Linked DNA regions of Arabidopsis thaliana. The protein of the gene in region 4 interacts with the protein of the main gene of each other region in a pairwise test. Each region holds a gene or a part of one and is shown on either strand. Other genes may lie near its edges.

Region 1 (3,593 bases), on a different chromosome or scaffold from region 4:
ATAGAGAGATTTGGATGCGTGCGAGTGACTGTGAGACACGTGCAAAGATATGGATGATGACTTCAAATCAATGTTATGACTTTCATAGTTTACACATATGTCATCCAACTTTCCTCCTTTTTAGATATTTACAATTTCGGCGTTTTGTTTTTCATATTCATCGAATTTTTTGGAAAGTAATTCTAGTCCAGTAGTCCTAATTTTTGTTTACATTTTAATGGTGCACCTGTAGTTACTGCAGCTGGAACATATTGGTGATCTCTACTAATGTGTAGCTTTTATTTAATTGAAGATTTGTTACATCTGATTTTTTGTAGTCGAAAGTTCATATGTTTTCGCTAAAGGAGAAAAAAAACTTGCAGGAATATAAATATATACACAAACACAAAGTTTGTCAGGTTAAAATGATTAGAATATTAAAGTTTGGAGATTTGCTCATAACATTAAAATAATAAATTCAGGAAAAAAAGACAACATAAGAGTTTTATTTTAGGCAGCACATCGTCTATTTGGCATTACAACCAATAATTTAAATTTCAATCAGATTTTGATCGAATTTTATAAGATGTACGTATAAACGGCCATGTGTGGTACTTTAGGTATTTCGGTAACCATGATTAATTAAGAAAAGGAAAAAAGAAAAACACTATAATACATGCTCTTGTTCTTAAAGAAATCAAGAGAAAAAAAAAAACACAGATGATTTTCGTTTAAAGACAACAAAAAAAACATGAAACAAACTATAAATTATACACTTAAACTAAAAGTCAAGTACTATCTTGAACAATGGACTTGAGAGCAATCGTCTGCAACTCAAGACATTTAATGTAGTTACCAATCTCACTCAACATTTCTTCCACATTCATCTCTTCCCCACCTGGCAAAAGCTTCTTCAATTCCCTCAGTCTCTCCTCTATCCCTCCTTCTTCGTTTCCGCCTTCTTTATCGGGTCTTTCAAGAATCCGAATTCCATCGGAAGAAGAACTAGTGGTAGTGGTTGGATTCGATGAGGACGATAGCTTCTGCAGCAAGAAACGGCTCCATGCAAATTCTTGAGCAGACAAAGCCAAAGCCATATCTACTTCATGCTTCACGGTTTGTTTTGAAGAGTTCTTGTTCATGTTGAGCTTCTTGAGTGCAGGAACCAAGTGGCTTGTGTATTTTCTCGTGAAAACTGCACTAGGGTTCTTGTTTGGTTCAAGAGAAAACACTCGTTTCTTCCTGTTTATGATTTGCCTCTCCATATGAGAAACTATTTTTGCTGCAAATGAAAGTCTACAAGGGAGAAAGTTACATATATAGCAAACTTAGAATATGAGAGAGACAAAGAAAGAGAAGAGCGGTGTCCTACGTTTGTTTGTATATAACAAGCGTTGATGATGTATAAAGTAAAGTTGTAGAACTTAATTTTCTTTGTATACATATATGAGGTAATATGTTTGGGAGTGTTATTATTTTTCGTTCACGTACAAAACACAAGACTATTTGAAAGTCGTAGTTAGTAGTTTTCTTTTTTAGACAAATATTTTAAAAACAACGGAATTTGAATATCATCAACTAATATATGTTTTTTTGTATAATACATTTATTTTTAGAAAATACACGAAAACAAAAAGAGAGTGTGTATATATATATATATATATATATATATACATAAATAAAGAGAGAAAAATAAGAAAAGAAGAATTTGGGAATAATAATGGGTGAGGGAAGAAAAAACACATGGAGTCACATGCAAGAGCTCTAATTTGGCTGCATCACAACTACCCCTAAAGAGGTGCTTTGAGAGACCCTTTTACCATGTGGCTCCATTCCAAGAACAAGACATCAATACAAAACCCCACCTTCTCTTAATGCTTTCACATGTTCCTTCCTCTTAACCTCTCTCTCTCTCACTCACTCACTCACACACTTTGTATATACATAATACATGTATGCATGTGTATGTGTCCTTGGACCAATCTCCTAATTAGTTTGATCAATCTATGTCATTTCTACCCATATTATCTTAATATAGATCTCCCTCATATTATATATACCATTTGACCTTCTTTTTTTTTATGCTGCATGTGTGATGAATTTGGGTTTCACTACCCACTACTTTTGCGATATTTGGATACAGATGGTAACTTGCTAAACAGAAATTTAGTTATTATTAGTGGTAGTTCAATTGGTGATCTGTACAACATATCAAGACAAACATCTTTGAAACTGAATTTTACTGCCACTGTAACTAATATGACGTAGATACAAGTTTCTTTACTACGCATATTAACATAAAGTTAAGATGCATGTGGTCAGTAATTGGGTTATTAATACGTTTTATTTGTCAAGGACTTTTAGTCGTGATTTTTTGATTCTAAGCATCATTGCATTCCAGGTTTAAAGATGACTTTAATTTTTCCTATAGGATTTGTAAATAGATAAATATAGTTTATGTTGACACAAAAGGTCACCTTTGATATGATATGAAAGTCTGGGTGTTACTCATTTGTTATTTTATTTTTATTTTTTAAAATATATACCGAATCATTTAGATATATATATATATATATATATATAATAATAATAATAATAATAATAACAATAAAATGTCCAAACAATATCTATAACTACTAAACATGGGCGGTTGAGACATTACAAGTTGTCTCTTAATCTTATAGTGTTTGATACATGCAATATACACGTTACTAGCTTTTGTTGTTAATAGCCAAAACTGAATGATCTCTTATTGGTTTTGTTGTGTTCTTTATCCTACCACACAAAAAAAGTCAAGGGTTAGTAGATTATCAATCAATGCAGCAAGGAAATTTTATTTCTCTTTTGTAAATAATCTTTTTTTTTGTTAGAATGTGATGTTTTCTCGTATTATATTTTAATGCAATCCCATAACCTTTGATTGAATGTGGAAAACATGTGTTAATGGTAACCCATCTAGATGAAATTAATTAATCTATAAACTTTACTAAATACAAGTAGATAAAAGTACATAAAGGTAGAGGAATTTTCTAGTTAAAAACAAACGAAATAATATATATATATATATTGGATATATATATATATATATATATAATCTAAGAGGAGAAAGAAATTGAGATGCAAACTAATAGATGTGGATACCAAAATAGATACTAGACATTCACACCTATAGTAGACATTGAACAATAATGCATATAATCATAAAAGTTTCTTGGAATTTTGCTTAATGGTTTTCCACCTTTGACAATCCACGTTGAAAAAATGACCGAATTAAATGTAACTCTTTCCAATCACACAATCAAGCTAGGTAAAACCAGATTCGTAATTATTCAACAGTATCTTTACGTAAAAAGATATATAAAGGAACAATAATGAATACAACCAACTAATGCCAATAATATTAAAATAGTATAGAACTATTTTGTCTGCAGTATGAACCACAAAGAAATCGTACAAAACTGTCAGAATGAATTGTACAAGGTCTGTGGAGATTTCTATCGAATATTGTAGATGGCATGTTATGACTTGTTTGTGCTGTTCTTAAATTTTGTTTTCTCTTCTTTATATAAGTTTTTTAAAAAGAAATAGTTAAACTGAATTAAAAAGGTGTAAGC
Region 2 (3,749 bases), 4.4 Mb from region 4:
GGATTTAAATAGTGTATATATATTCTAAATTAGCAACTTTTAAACACTAAGTCAAACAGATATTCCCTCTGTTCCTTTTTGTTTGATTGTTTAGAAAAAAAAATTTGTTTCTAAAAGATTGATTTTTTAAGTTTTCCATGTAATATTATTGGTTAATATTAGTGAATTGTAATTTTCAAAAAAAATAGTTAATTATTATTGGTTTAGAGTTATAGAAAACTGTAAAACACTAAAAATAATACATTTATAATCAACATTTAATATATTTTTTTAATATGTGTGTTTTTTCTAAACAATTAAACAAAAAAGAACTAGATGGAGTATAATTTAAACAAGCTGGTTGTTGAATGATATAATTGAAGATTTTGTTTTATTATCACTAAAAGTATTGTTCCGCACATTCATAAGACTTTAAACCAAAAATAAATCAATAAAATCAGCCACATGACCACCATGTTGGTTAATATATATTGAAAAAACAAGGCGTCGAGCCACTTACACTTATATAAAATTGTATATGACTTCCATGTCCGTTGATAAAATAAATAAAACTTGCTTGTCCAATTTCTATTTCATAGAGTGAAAAGTTTTGGTAGTTGGTACTATAGGACATCCTTATTGTAGGGACCGACCATAAAAACTTTACATAGAGAGATCTAAAGAAAAAATATTTAATGCATATGGTTTGTCATTATGTCTACATACATTTGTGAATGGTATATATAAACCAGTATTTTAATTATTTTCTCTTTGGTTTTAGGCATGGTTTAACCATCTTCATGTATTATTTTTTTTGAATCAATGAGAATGAGCTTATGTAATATTTTACTTCTTAATTTTGAGAAAATTTAATTAAAATTTGCATTAGTTATAATATGGAACATATCTAAATTTGGATATGTAAACCCATTAAAGTATGAACACAGAAAATTCGTTTCGATTCACTAAGAATTAAATCAACACCTAAAACATACGAGATAACACGTAACGTAATTTTCATGCGTGATGTTGAATGAAGATAATCTATATCTTCACGAGGAAACACAAAAAGAAAAGTTGGAAAAAATAGCGTTTGAGATGCATGCGTGAGAGTGTGCGAGTGGGGAACTGGGGATAAAGAGAAAGGTTAGATAATAGTAAAACACTCTAGAGCGTCTGACTCACGACTATTTTTCTGCTCGTCGTTTGGTTTGGTATGCGATGACGTTTGTGTGACTCAATCGCAACTTGCCGTACCAAAAGTCTTGCCGTACTTCCTCTTCAATTACTAAAATACCCATTTCCTAATATAATCTTATCTTTAAACAATTGTAAACTACCAAAGATTTCTAGACTTTAATTTCGGTCCATAGTTTTTATCGACCAAGAATCAAAATCATAGTTGTTTTAAGCCACGGTTCTGAGCAAGTAGGTTAATCCTCTTTGCCGGTACAACTCGAAGATGGGACATGGTCGTTGTTTCTCTAAGAAAGATCGACTAGTACAACTACTAACACCATGTGTTATCTCTTTAATTTCTTAGTTTAGTTACCACCATATATTTATTAACTCCACTTTGAAATATTAAATCATAGTTACTTGTTGACAATTTTTATTTTTTTATATTAATTATGTTGATAGTTAGATGATAACAATATTTGTGTTGTGGCAAACGCAGTTGTATTACCAATAAGACAATAACAATGGTTGGTACCAAAACAGCATCACAAATTTAGCAATAACCTTTGAATCAATCAATTGGGGTTTTGCTATGTTTAATGAGTTTAAAATACTTAAATACATAACTAATTGATAATAACTGTAACAACAAAAAAAGAACCAATTGATAATAAACGAAATATAATAATTTATGTCTCCTACATATATTGTTGTAGATATCTTTTAACTTTCATTTAGGAGATTTCATAAAAACTTACTTTTTCAGTTGTTAACTTTTTTTTTTTTTTTTTTTGTTGTTAAAAAACTTCTTTATACTAATTAGTTAGGATGGTTGATAAACATTGAATTCGAATATGTGTTTGTTCCCTGCATTATCGGTTGAGCTGATGTTGTACTCATTTAGCCAAAACACTAATTAAAAATCCATCATCTAGTGTATGGTTATAGAAGTTTTATCTTAATTAAGTGCACTAACTCATGTCCTTATAGATTCTGTTTACATGTCTGTCTCGTTTCTAATCGGTTAAACATGATGATTAATAAGCAATCAAAGGAATAGTCAGTTTTTGTTTTATTTTTTGCTATTTTGTATATAATAACACGAAACTATTATTGAACGTGGAAGGTCAACGAAAAGGTGTTTATTCAGCAAGAGGAAAGGGTAAAACTAGAATTTCAGCTCTCCGTCTCACAACTAAAGTCAATGCAAAAAAGCTAAGCTAAGTTTTCGCTTATATAAACACGATCAAAACTCATTATTCAACAAAGTCTTCGTTTCATTTTTCATTTTTCATTTCTCAACCAAAAAAAAAAAGAGTGATTTTTTTTTTAATCATCAGTCAAATGGAAAGGGGAAGATCAGATATGGAGATGATAAACAACATGGCAAATTGCTTGATTCTTCTATCAAAGGCCCATCAAAACGACACCAAAAGCCGTGTTTTCGCGTGCAAGACATGCAACAAAGAGTTCCCGTCGTTCCAAGCCTTGGGAGGTCACCGAGCCAGCCACCGGCGATCCGCAGCGCTTGAAGGCCACGCACCTCCTTCTCCTAAGAGAGTCAAACCGGTGAAACACGAGTGTCCCATATGTGGTGCTGAGTTCGCGGTAGGGCAGGCCTTAGGTGGTCACATGAGGAAGCATAGAGGTGGATCAGGAGGAGGAGGTGGCCGGAGTTTGGCGCCGGCTACAGCGCCGGTGACGATGAAGAAATCAGGCGGTGGTAATGGAAAAAGAGTTTTGTGTTTGGACTTGAACTTGACGCCTTTAGAGAACGAAGATTTGAAGTTGGAGCTTGGGAGGTTTATTTTCTGATTTTTGTTCGTTTTTCTTTTTAGGGTATACTTGTGTAGGGTAAGTTTATTTTTTCTGATAATTTCTATTTTTGTAGACTTTCAGTATTTTTTGTATAACAACTTTACGGTATATACCGTTATGTATAGATACAGATATATACATCTTATATTGTTCGAGTTATTATGTATATATATATATATAAAGTCTGTTTCAGTAATAATCATTTTGTTGAATTCTTTTAGCGTCGCATTGATTACGTAGACATATATAATTTGAATTCTGAAAACATTAGTTTTGAACTTGGATGATACCACAAACAAATCATACACGTTAGGTTCAGATTCTTAGTTTCAGTTTTTTTGTATTAGAATCATGTTCCAGAGTTATTGGTTCTATAAACTAATCGGACATCTTTGTCTATAAGTAGGGGTATAAGACCTCTTCGTTTTACTATTTGTCTATAATTAGACATCTAGTTTTTTGTCATTAACTTGCTAAAACTTTTGGTAACGAAAAAAAGAAGAAAGTCATTAACTAGAAATTTCGAGATTTCTTTTCGTTGTAGACGTTTTGTTAAAAAAACTAATTAGTATTCAAAATTTATATTGAAAGAAACAAAATTTCCACACAAAAAAAAAAACAGTTGAAATGAGTCGTTGATGATAAACATTTATGTGTACGAAAGACATGATAAGAATAAGCAAGTAATGGTAGTTTAGTTTTTTTTAATCATGTGGATCTTTAGACCAGAGATTACAGATTATAGTCATGGTTCTAGTCATTTAGGTAATCTA
Region 3 (3,730 bases), on a different chromosome or scaffold from region 4:
GTTACAACAACAAACATAAAAATTATAAAACGATTCATTTAAGAGTAATTTGAGACTCCAGTTTGAATTTGATGACATCAATAATGCATTATATATAGTTATTAGTGTGTTAGTATTTTCTTATGGCCTTAACTAAAATTAGTTAAATTGAAACACAAACATGAATTATTAATATATAGGTATTGCCGAAAAAAGTATGGTTGACCAATCCCAATGGATTCAACCTTACAAATCATAGGTGATCCACAAACATCTAACTAAAACCAAAATATTTAAGATATAACAAAAAAATCTTGCAAGTGTACTATTTTAACAGGACAAGTGTATCTTGTAATACGGAAGATTTCGAAAATTTGAACTCCCGATTTCAACATAACAAAATAACATCTGTCCTCGGGCCTATACAGGCCCAGTAAGTCTAACGATAAATGAGCCTTAATGGACTAGATTTAAAACTTTATAAAGGGGCCAAGGCGTTCACAAACCCAACAGTAGGTACAGAAGGCTCCTGGTAATAACTGAAAAGCAACGCAACCACATAGCAAAGACAAGTTACTTGATCCAAGAGAGCTGTTTCCTTTGTGTGATGTTGTTCGATTTTGACCTCAGTGTTTATGAATTCCTGAGTAAGATCTAGTCTTTAACTTCCCCACCTTGGATACTGTATTCACGAATGAGCATGTTTTTGTTCCTTGGGAGATTCCATAATTGGTCTGATGCATATAGACATGTGTTTTTTTTTTTTGGTGTCATATGTGCGCTGTGAATCTTGTGATATTTTAGAATCTAAAAAATATACACGCACAAGAAAAGCTTACGACCACATATATCAATGGGTTCCAGTTTAAAAATTTGGTGAGTATTATTAAGAGAGTCGGAGAAGAAATATTTGAGCGTGGTTAAAATATTAAGAAAAGGAAGAGACATGGAGACGATGTCTCAATTAAGGGGGCAAGCCTCTCTGGCCAATTACAGAGAAAAGGGCCCTTTTAGATTCTCTTCAAGATCTTCTTTTTTTTTTTCTTGTTTTTTTTGGTATAAATCACACATTTACTACAAAAATGCACTTATAATATTTAGTGTCAACTCATAATTGCTAAAACATTTCTCTCGTGTTTTCCATAGCAAGGTGCCAAAAACGAATTGATCAAGAAAAGTAAATGTTTTACATTAGTTACTATAGAATTTAGATCATGGTTTGTTTAAGATTTAGAACTTGGTGTAGGAACTAATAATTCCCTCGTGATATATGACAAATTGACAATGACATTCACCGTTACGAAGGATCGAATTTTGTCAAGAAAAAATATTTTCTAAACTATGGTATGAAGACAATATACATATACTACTCATTACTCTTGAATTTTATTTTTGTTTTTCCTTTGTAGACTACTCATTACTCTTTAGATTGAGATATCAATTAGAAACATACAAATCACACACAAAATAGTGGGAAACGGCAAAGGAGAGAATTTGTTGGCGGAAAATTGTCCACAACATTACAAATGAGTAAAGGTCACACAAAAGAGATCCTTTTTTCTCATATGGCAGCGCCATGAAAATGGTCACATGGAATGCTTTTTTGGTAAATTTTCTTTTCTCTTTTGCTTATTTCACTCTCTGAGTGCTTTTTTCCCTTTCTCTGCTTACCTTTAAAATAAAATAAAACCACATGAATTCTACCGCAACCACTTGAAACAAAAGATTCAACATCACCCTTTATTTCTCAACTTATCAAAAATATATATATCAATCGTCTATATTCTTTGACCTTTGGAGTTACAATGTATAAACATAGAAAATATATTTGCATCGCTCAGCATTTTGACTATTAAAGGGCATAATTTTGGAGCTTCATGCCAAGGCAAAAAGATAAAGAACAATCACATGAATGACAAAAGATTAAAAACAAAAGATTTTTAACTAATGAAAAAAAACACAAAAAACAAATACCGGTAAATAAGGGCAAAAGTGGAATTAAGTGTTATAGCTCCGCTGGCGATTGGCAGAGATATAAAAACTGATCTCTCTCCATTCATCTTCTCTTGTTTCTAACTAGTCACATTGAGAGAGAGAGAGAGAGAAAGAGAGACTCTCAGAATCTGAAGAAGAAGAAGAGATTGTTGTTTTTGCCTTTTATCATCGGTTTCTTTGAATCTCTGGTTTTAAATCGGATTTAATGGTGGAGTCTCTGTTCCCGAGCATCGAAAACACAGGTGAATCGTCTCGAAGAAAGAAGCCGAGGATATCAGAGACGGCGGAGGCGGAGATAGAGGCACGACGTGTCAACGAAGAAAGCTTGAAGAGATGGAAAACGAATCGTGTGCAACAGATCTACGCTTGTAAGCTCGTCGAAGCTTTACGCCGAGTTCGTCAGAGATCTTCCACCACCAGCAACAACGAGACCGATAAACTCGTCTCCGGCGCGGCGAGGGAGATACGTGATACGGCGGATCGAGTTCTAGCTGCGTCCGCTCGTGGTACGACTCGGTGGAGCAGAGCGATTTTAGCGAGTCGCGTCCGAGCGAAGCTGAAGAAACATAGAAAGGCGAAAAAGTCAACGGGAAATTGTAAATCGAGAAAAGGTCTCACGGAGACGAATCGGATTAAGTTACCGGCGGTTGAGAGAAAACTGAAGATTCTTGGCCGTTTGGTTCCTGGTTGCCGGAAAGTCTCTGTACCGAATCTTTTAGATGAAGCGACCGATTACATCGCAGCGTTAGAGATGCAGGTTCGAGCCATGGAGGCTCTCGCCGAACTTTTAACCGCAGCCGCACCACGGACGACGTTGACCGGAACTTAACGGCGGCAGTTAGTTTGTCAGTTGTTAATTAGCTTTTCTTTTACCTTTTTACCCCTTTATTTTGGCTTCAAGTGTTTTTTTTTTCTCGTCGACGCGATTTTAATTTATTAAATTCATGTATTTTATTTGTATACATCATCACTTCTTTTTTTTTGTATCCATTTTGATCTTTCTTTGTTTTTTCGTTAGATAATCAAAGTTATCTAAACAATAACAACAACAAAATGCCAACTAATGTCGATTCCAAAAATTGTTTAACGCTTTAAAAAAAAATTAGACCTACAAATTAAAGAAACTAAAAAGTAAGGAGAAGAACAAATAATTTGCAAGTTGAAGCAATTCAAAAATGAGCATGTGCGTGTAACGTGTTGAGGACACCCACCTTAATTTTGGGGCCAATGGACTCCATGTGATTCTCAAAGACTTTTTCCGACGTTGAAGTTTATGTCGAAAAGTGTATTTTTTGCTCAAAATGCCCTCAAAATCTTTCAAACTGATTAGAAAAAAACATTTACTTGAATGTCAACATTAATTATGATAACAAGGAGTAGCATACGACTCTTCAAGAGAACTGACATTATGAAAAATTGATGATTATGGTATAAAATACAAGTTAGTAAAAGTTAGTTGTCAGAAGAAATCCACTAGGAATAACATTGAAAGAAGTGGTGAGCAAAAAGGACCACAAAAATGGAACCAAAAGAAGAGGAAACAATAAGATTGAGAAATGAGTCTCTTGGAACATCTTTTTTCCCTCTTTAAGACTCCCCACGTGTGCTCTTTCTTTTAACACCCAATATGTCTTTCAAAAGCATTCACACCTTTTTGTTGTATATCAAATTAAATGGCAACATGTTTGTGGGTCATTGTGTCTTCCAAGTTATATAAGAAGATTTCTCACAAAATCCATCTTGATAAGTCCTTGGA
Region 4 (4,964 bases):
TATATATGTAGGTGCATCCGAATGCAAAATTAGATATATTTTGAATGTAATGAAAACTAGAGTTTGAATGCAATCGTAGCATCAACAAGACAACAATGATCAAACGTCTAAAATATCATTCTTTGAATTAAAAATGAAACAAATTTAAAACAACGTCCGATTTTATATATGTTCACCAATTTCATAAAGAATTCATGAATTTGCCATCACTCGAGAATCCAATTTTCTTATTTGTTATAAAAATGTTTACTAGTGTAGTTTTTAAATTAACAAAAATTTATTTGACACTAACTAATATCCAAAAAAAAAATAGAAATAGAAGAATCCTACTCGATGATGTTTTATTTGACAAAATTTTATTTGACACATACTTCACATTTGATGATGTTTGCTTTTTACAAGAATCCTACTCGAATATATGGTTAATCTTTAGCAAGAAAATAGAAGAATAAATGAATAACCTCTCCCGAATCTGTGAATAGTCGATGAGCTGTTTCCAAACGAAATTTTTTTCTTTTCTTTTCATCTAAATGTGCATTGAGAGTCATCATTCGGATTCAACATCCAAATTCAACGCCATGATGTTGGTTATGAATTTTTAAAGAATACAATGCAATCTTGTATCAAAATAACTAAAGACAACATCTGTTTAAGCTATTAGTTTTTTTTCTTATGATCGATTTAATTTTACATAAATTAAATAGCTAGAAAATAATTTGTATTCAATGAATAAAATTTTATGTGAAGATAAAATCGACATTGATTAATTGGCTGCCTAGATACCGTTTACTTTGATCATCAAAAGTATTCTTCCACCGATTTATAAAAAATCATGGCGACCTAATAACTCTATACCCATACCCTTCGAATGGGAACATATTGATGGGTACATTTCGTTGACAATAGAATCTTAGATATTTTATTGTAATTACCACAAGAGTTTTCTTAGATATTCGTTGCAGAAAAAAAAAACAGGAAAACGATTTATAATTTTCTTAGATATTTATATATCCAAAAAAACAAACAAGAATTGTAATTACCACAAGAGTTTTCTCTCTTTCTTCTACAAATATGATATATATCTATAACTCCTCTAAAACATATTTATCTATCTCTCTATATAATCTATACACAAAGATTGATGGTGACAAGATCATTGGATTGCTATCTCCAGTTCTTCTGGTTTAAATATCAGAAAACAAGGATCAAAGGATAATGCATTAACCAAATTTCGAAATTACTACTTTGATGAGCAAATGTAATAGAATTTGCTTCTGATTTTGATGATTGATTGATGTCAACCATGTTGTTTCAATGAATCTTGCTTAGTAATGAAAACCGAGGCTAGATGTGTTGTAGAGACTCTGTGATTGAGTTTCCCAGCTTCCAGATGGCTGAAATAGAGAGATACAGAGACAGGTTACTTCACTGACAAGGAACAAAAACTCTGACAAGTTTTTCAGTTTCATATAAAGCTGTACTTACAGCTTCGATAGATGTCGTTTGGTTCGGGTTTATCGCAGACAAATCTAGAGATCCTTGCTGGTCTAACGGAAACAATGGCACATCAACCATTATTGATTGCTTTGAAGCAACTACATTTGTAAAGTAAGCCTGAAACTGAAAATTTCATAACCCTTAAGTTTGTTGAGCAATATCAATATGACTTTGAGGGTCTAGACAATGTGTTTTCACCTGTTTTACGGATACATCTTCCACGGCAAGCTCTAGTTCCGGGTTCAAGACAGCAAGTTTCATCGACAGGAACTGCAAAGTATGGCTCTTTAAGAATTAGACTTATTCTCTTTGGTTAATAGTGAAGTTAAGTTACAGAGAATCATGGTTTCATTGCTTACCTCGACTTGTCTTTGGAGACATTGAACATAATTGATGATCTCATCAAGCATACCAGCTTTTCCTGTGACCTTATTGCATCCAGGCACAATATCTTGCAGATATTTCATTTTCTTGCTGATCTTTTCTCTTCTCGCCTGCAAATCCAAATCCATTCAGAAACCCTAGATATATCATGATTCTTGTATCACAAGAAACTTATTTATTTTTATTACCCTTTCTGCTAAGCTGTGTCTGTCAGTGGCTTGGCCTCGACGAGCTCTCACGTGGATATAATCTAATTTCTGATTCTCTGAAGCTCCTTTCGATGTCTCCTTTGAAGTGTCTGAAGATGCTTCAGTGTTTCCCATGTTTGATTTTCCTTTCATGCTTGACTCTGTCTCAGCCTCTACTTTGATCTTCTTCTCTGTCTTTTGCTCTTCCCTTGTCTTAACCTAAGACATTATTAATAAAAAATATCAAAAACCATGTCTCAAAACAAAGTTTTTATCCAAAATTTTGATCTTACAAACCTCTGGTTTTCTCTTGTTCTTCAAGGCAACGGCTCTGGTTTCTTCACCGGTCTTCAACAAAACCTCCATTGTATCCACAGGTTCCATATGGCAGCTACTTGTTCTTGAAATGGATTCATGTGGAGGACCAAAACCCATGTTATAGTTTGGTCCAAAACCAGATCCAAGCATTTGAAATTGGCTGAAACTACTCTCCAACAACTCATCATTGTTGCTTCCATGGAACTGAAGTATCTGAAGAAGTTCAGGTGAATTATTACTGCTATGGGACACAACTTGTTGCAGTTGCTGTTGTTGCTGTTGTACCCATTTAAGCCTTTCAAGTACAGACATGTCCATAGAGTTTAAGGACAAGCTTTCTTGAGAGACAAGACCTTCCAACATATTGTTCTCTGCAGAAATCTTTCAACTTATGATCTTTTAAAGTGAGACCAAAAGTACAAAACAAAATAGAGAATGGGAAAAAATGCAAAAAAGCTCTGAGTTATTTGGTGGGTTTAAAGCAAAAGAGGATTTGCTATAAATGTATGAAGAAGTAGAGATTTAGGTTATGTAATATTGTTTTTGGGTGGTTGCTTAAAAAAGATGAAAGAGTTGGGAGAAACTAATCCATTGAAATCATTCTTCTTAGCTTTAAATAGAAAACAACATTGACCCACACACATAAGGTCCCCTACTTCTTATGTTTTTATTTTATTTTCCTTTATAAATGTAGAAATTTCATTTACTTATTTGTTATCTCTTACCTCTCTAGAAATAAATACTCTCTTACCAATTCAAAATGGTACCACACGTTTTTTATACGCCACAACTTTTTTATACGTATCCCTTAAAAAATATATAGCAATAACAATAGTTTTCTATTTTACGTAGATGTTCAACATAACATTTGTATCGGATTTGAGACCGATCTTTTATGATAAGTTTACGAAAATGGTCGTACTGTAGCTATGTGATAGTCACAAATGACAGTGAGATAGATTAAACGTTAGCGTTGGTGGATAAATCGGGTCCATCGTTTAGAGACACTTGACTATGACTAGGAGAAAAAAGAGGCTCAAGAACAAATTGCGGAAAATAGTAGTAAAGATTCGGTATCTAAGAGAGAGAGGGACATAAATTGATAAAAGAAAAGGTTGGGAGCAAAGAAGGTGAGAGGAGAAGGTGTAGGGTCTAAGTGACATAACCCACACCATGTGGGCATGTCCTTATGAACACTAAATTTAGAGGTTCTTTATCCCTTCTTTGTGTGTGTTATGTTTTCTTTTTTTTCTTCTTCTTTTTTGCCCTTTCAAGTTTATGAGAGGAGCTTTACAAGGAAAAAATAAACAATGAGTGAGACCTTAACATATATTGACATTTGGAATAGTCAAATTAATTGAATTCAATCCAAACTAAAATTCAGAAAATTGATTGTTTCTATAAAACTTACTTACAAAGTAAAACCCAAACAAACTACATTGAATCCATGTAACAAAACTTATATTAAAAAAAGTTTGACCGCAAAATTTGCATCATGACATTATTGACATGTAGTCTAATAGTTTGTATTTTGTGTTGTAAATTGTAATTGTATCAGTACAAAAAAAAAAAAAACTGAAAAGAAGAAAACATCGCTAGAGAGAGGGGTCGAACCTCTGACCTTGTGGTTAACAGCCACACGCTCTAACCAACTGAGCTACTCCAGCTTATTGATAACAATAATATATAACTAACTATATTCAGTTAGTTTGAAATAAAGACACAAGACAAGATCATGCAAAAGATCTTGTCATCTTGGGTTTTCCATAAAAGAATCAAACGAAAATCCATGAGTAGATAGATAATACAGCAAGACAACAAAGAACAGTATACCACCAACCATTGAATATTTTAGAAATTAATCTATAACATGACATGTTAATAATTAAAAGCGACATCAAAATATATTTAAAATATATAAAGAAAACAATGGGTTTGAAGATAAGTGATTGGAAGGTAGGAGACCATTGCTTTTGATCAGAGTGTTTGATCATATTCTTCTGTCTACTAGAGTGTGGGCTTCCAACCTAAAACCAATTGGCAATAGGTGGAGAGACCCATATCTTATATATACCACTTAAGATCCTACTTAACTTCCGATGTGGGACATTGTCCCTAATACGCCCCCTCGAGATGATGGCTCTTCTAGCCATTGATCTCGATATGTTTGGGCATGGATCGGCGGGCCAAGTATTGGGCCGGACCGATGTGGATCGGGTTGAGTATGTGCGGATCGGGCTCTGATACCATATTAGAGTGTGGGCTTCCAACCTAAAACCAATTGGCAATAGGTGGAGAGGCCGCTATCTTATATATACCACTTAAGATCCTACTTAACTTCCGATGTGGAACATTGTCCCTAATAGTGTCCTTCTCCATTCACTGTTGTAATACTATTAAAGTTATAAGTTTACCCACTTCCAAATTTCAATCACATTCATAAGAACTGCAAAACGAGCGATTTTTTTTTTTTTTTGGATTTAAGTTCTTATAAGTTTTCCATTGTGAAAAAGTTAGCTAGTTATGTTAATATTATACATGTAGCAATATAGCACAAAGTCATTACTTTCAATCTAC

Evidence for each region.
Region 1: the proteins of HBI1 (region 4) and AT4G30180 interact in a two-hybrid assay, tested with the Arabidopsis thaliana proteins (one large-scale study listed by BioGRID).
Region 2: the proteins of HBI1 (region 4) and AT2G28710 interact in a two-hybrid assay, tested with the Arabidopsis thaliana proteins (one large-scale study listed by BioGRID).
Region 3: the proteins of HBI1 (region 4) and AT1G09250 interact in a two-hybrid assay, tested with the Arabidopsis thaliana proteins (one large-scale study listed by BioGRID).

What each region holds. Positions count from the first base shown.
Region 1 is NC_003075.7:14,766,679-14,770,271, reverse strand, and holds AT4G30180 (uncharacterized protein), read right to left. Parts: upstream 1,489-3,593; 5' UTR 1,245-1,488; coding exon 768-1,244; 3' UTR 501-767; downstream 1-500.
Region 2 is NC_003071.7:12,320,472-12,324,220, forward strand, and holds AT2G28710 (C2H2-type zinc finger family protein), read left to right. Parts: upstream 1-1,914; 5' UTR 1,915-1,954; intron 1,955-2,476; 5' UTR 2,477-2,502; coding exon 2,503-2,973; 3' UTR 2,974-3,113; downstream 3,114-3,749.
Region 3 is NC_003070.9:2,987,330-2,991,059, forward strand, and holds AT1G09250 (basic helix-loop-helix (bHLH) DNA-binding superfamily protein), read left to right. Parts: upstream 1-1,811; 5' UTR 1,812-2,179; coding exon 2,180-2,803; 3' UTR 2,804-3,098; downstream 3,099-3,730. Other genes in the region: AT1G09245 (Plant self-incompatibility protein S1 family), read right to left, coding at 1-38. UniProt on the Arabidopsis thaliana protein: Atypical bHLH transcription factor probably unable to bind DNA. Negatively regulates brassinosteroid signaling.
Region 4 is NC_003071.7:7,951,697-7,956,660, forward strand, and holds HBI1 (basic helix-loop-helix (bHLH) DNA-binding superfamily protein), read right to left. Parts: upstream 3,044-4,964; 5' UTR 2,751-3,043; coding exon 2,367-2,750; intron 2,289-2,366; coding exon 2,070-2,288; intron 1,992-2,069; coding exon 1,857-1,991; intron 1,768-1,856; coding exon 1,696-1,767; intron 1,621-1,695; coding exon 1,486-1,620; intron 1,395-1,485; coding exon 1,340-1,394; coding exon of another isoform or gene 1,326-1,339; exon of another isoform or gene 945-1,325; coding exon 850-944; 3' UTR 708-849; downstream 1-707. Other genes in the region: AT2G18320 (F-box associated ubiquitination effector family protein), read left to right, coding at 4,524-4,613, 4,932-4,964. UniProt on the Arabidopsis thaliana protein: Atypical bHLH transcription factor that acts as a positive regulator of cell elongation downstream of multiple external and endogenous signals by direct binding to the promoters and activation of the two expansin genes EXPA1 and EXPA8, encoding cell wall loosening enzymes.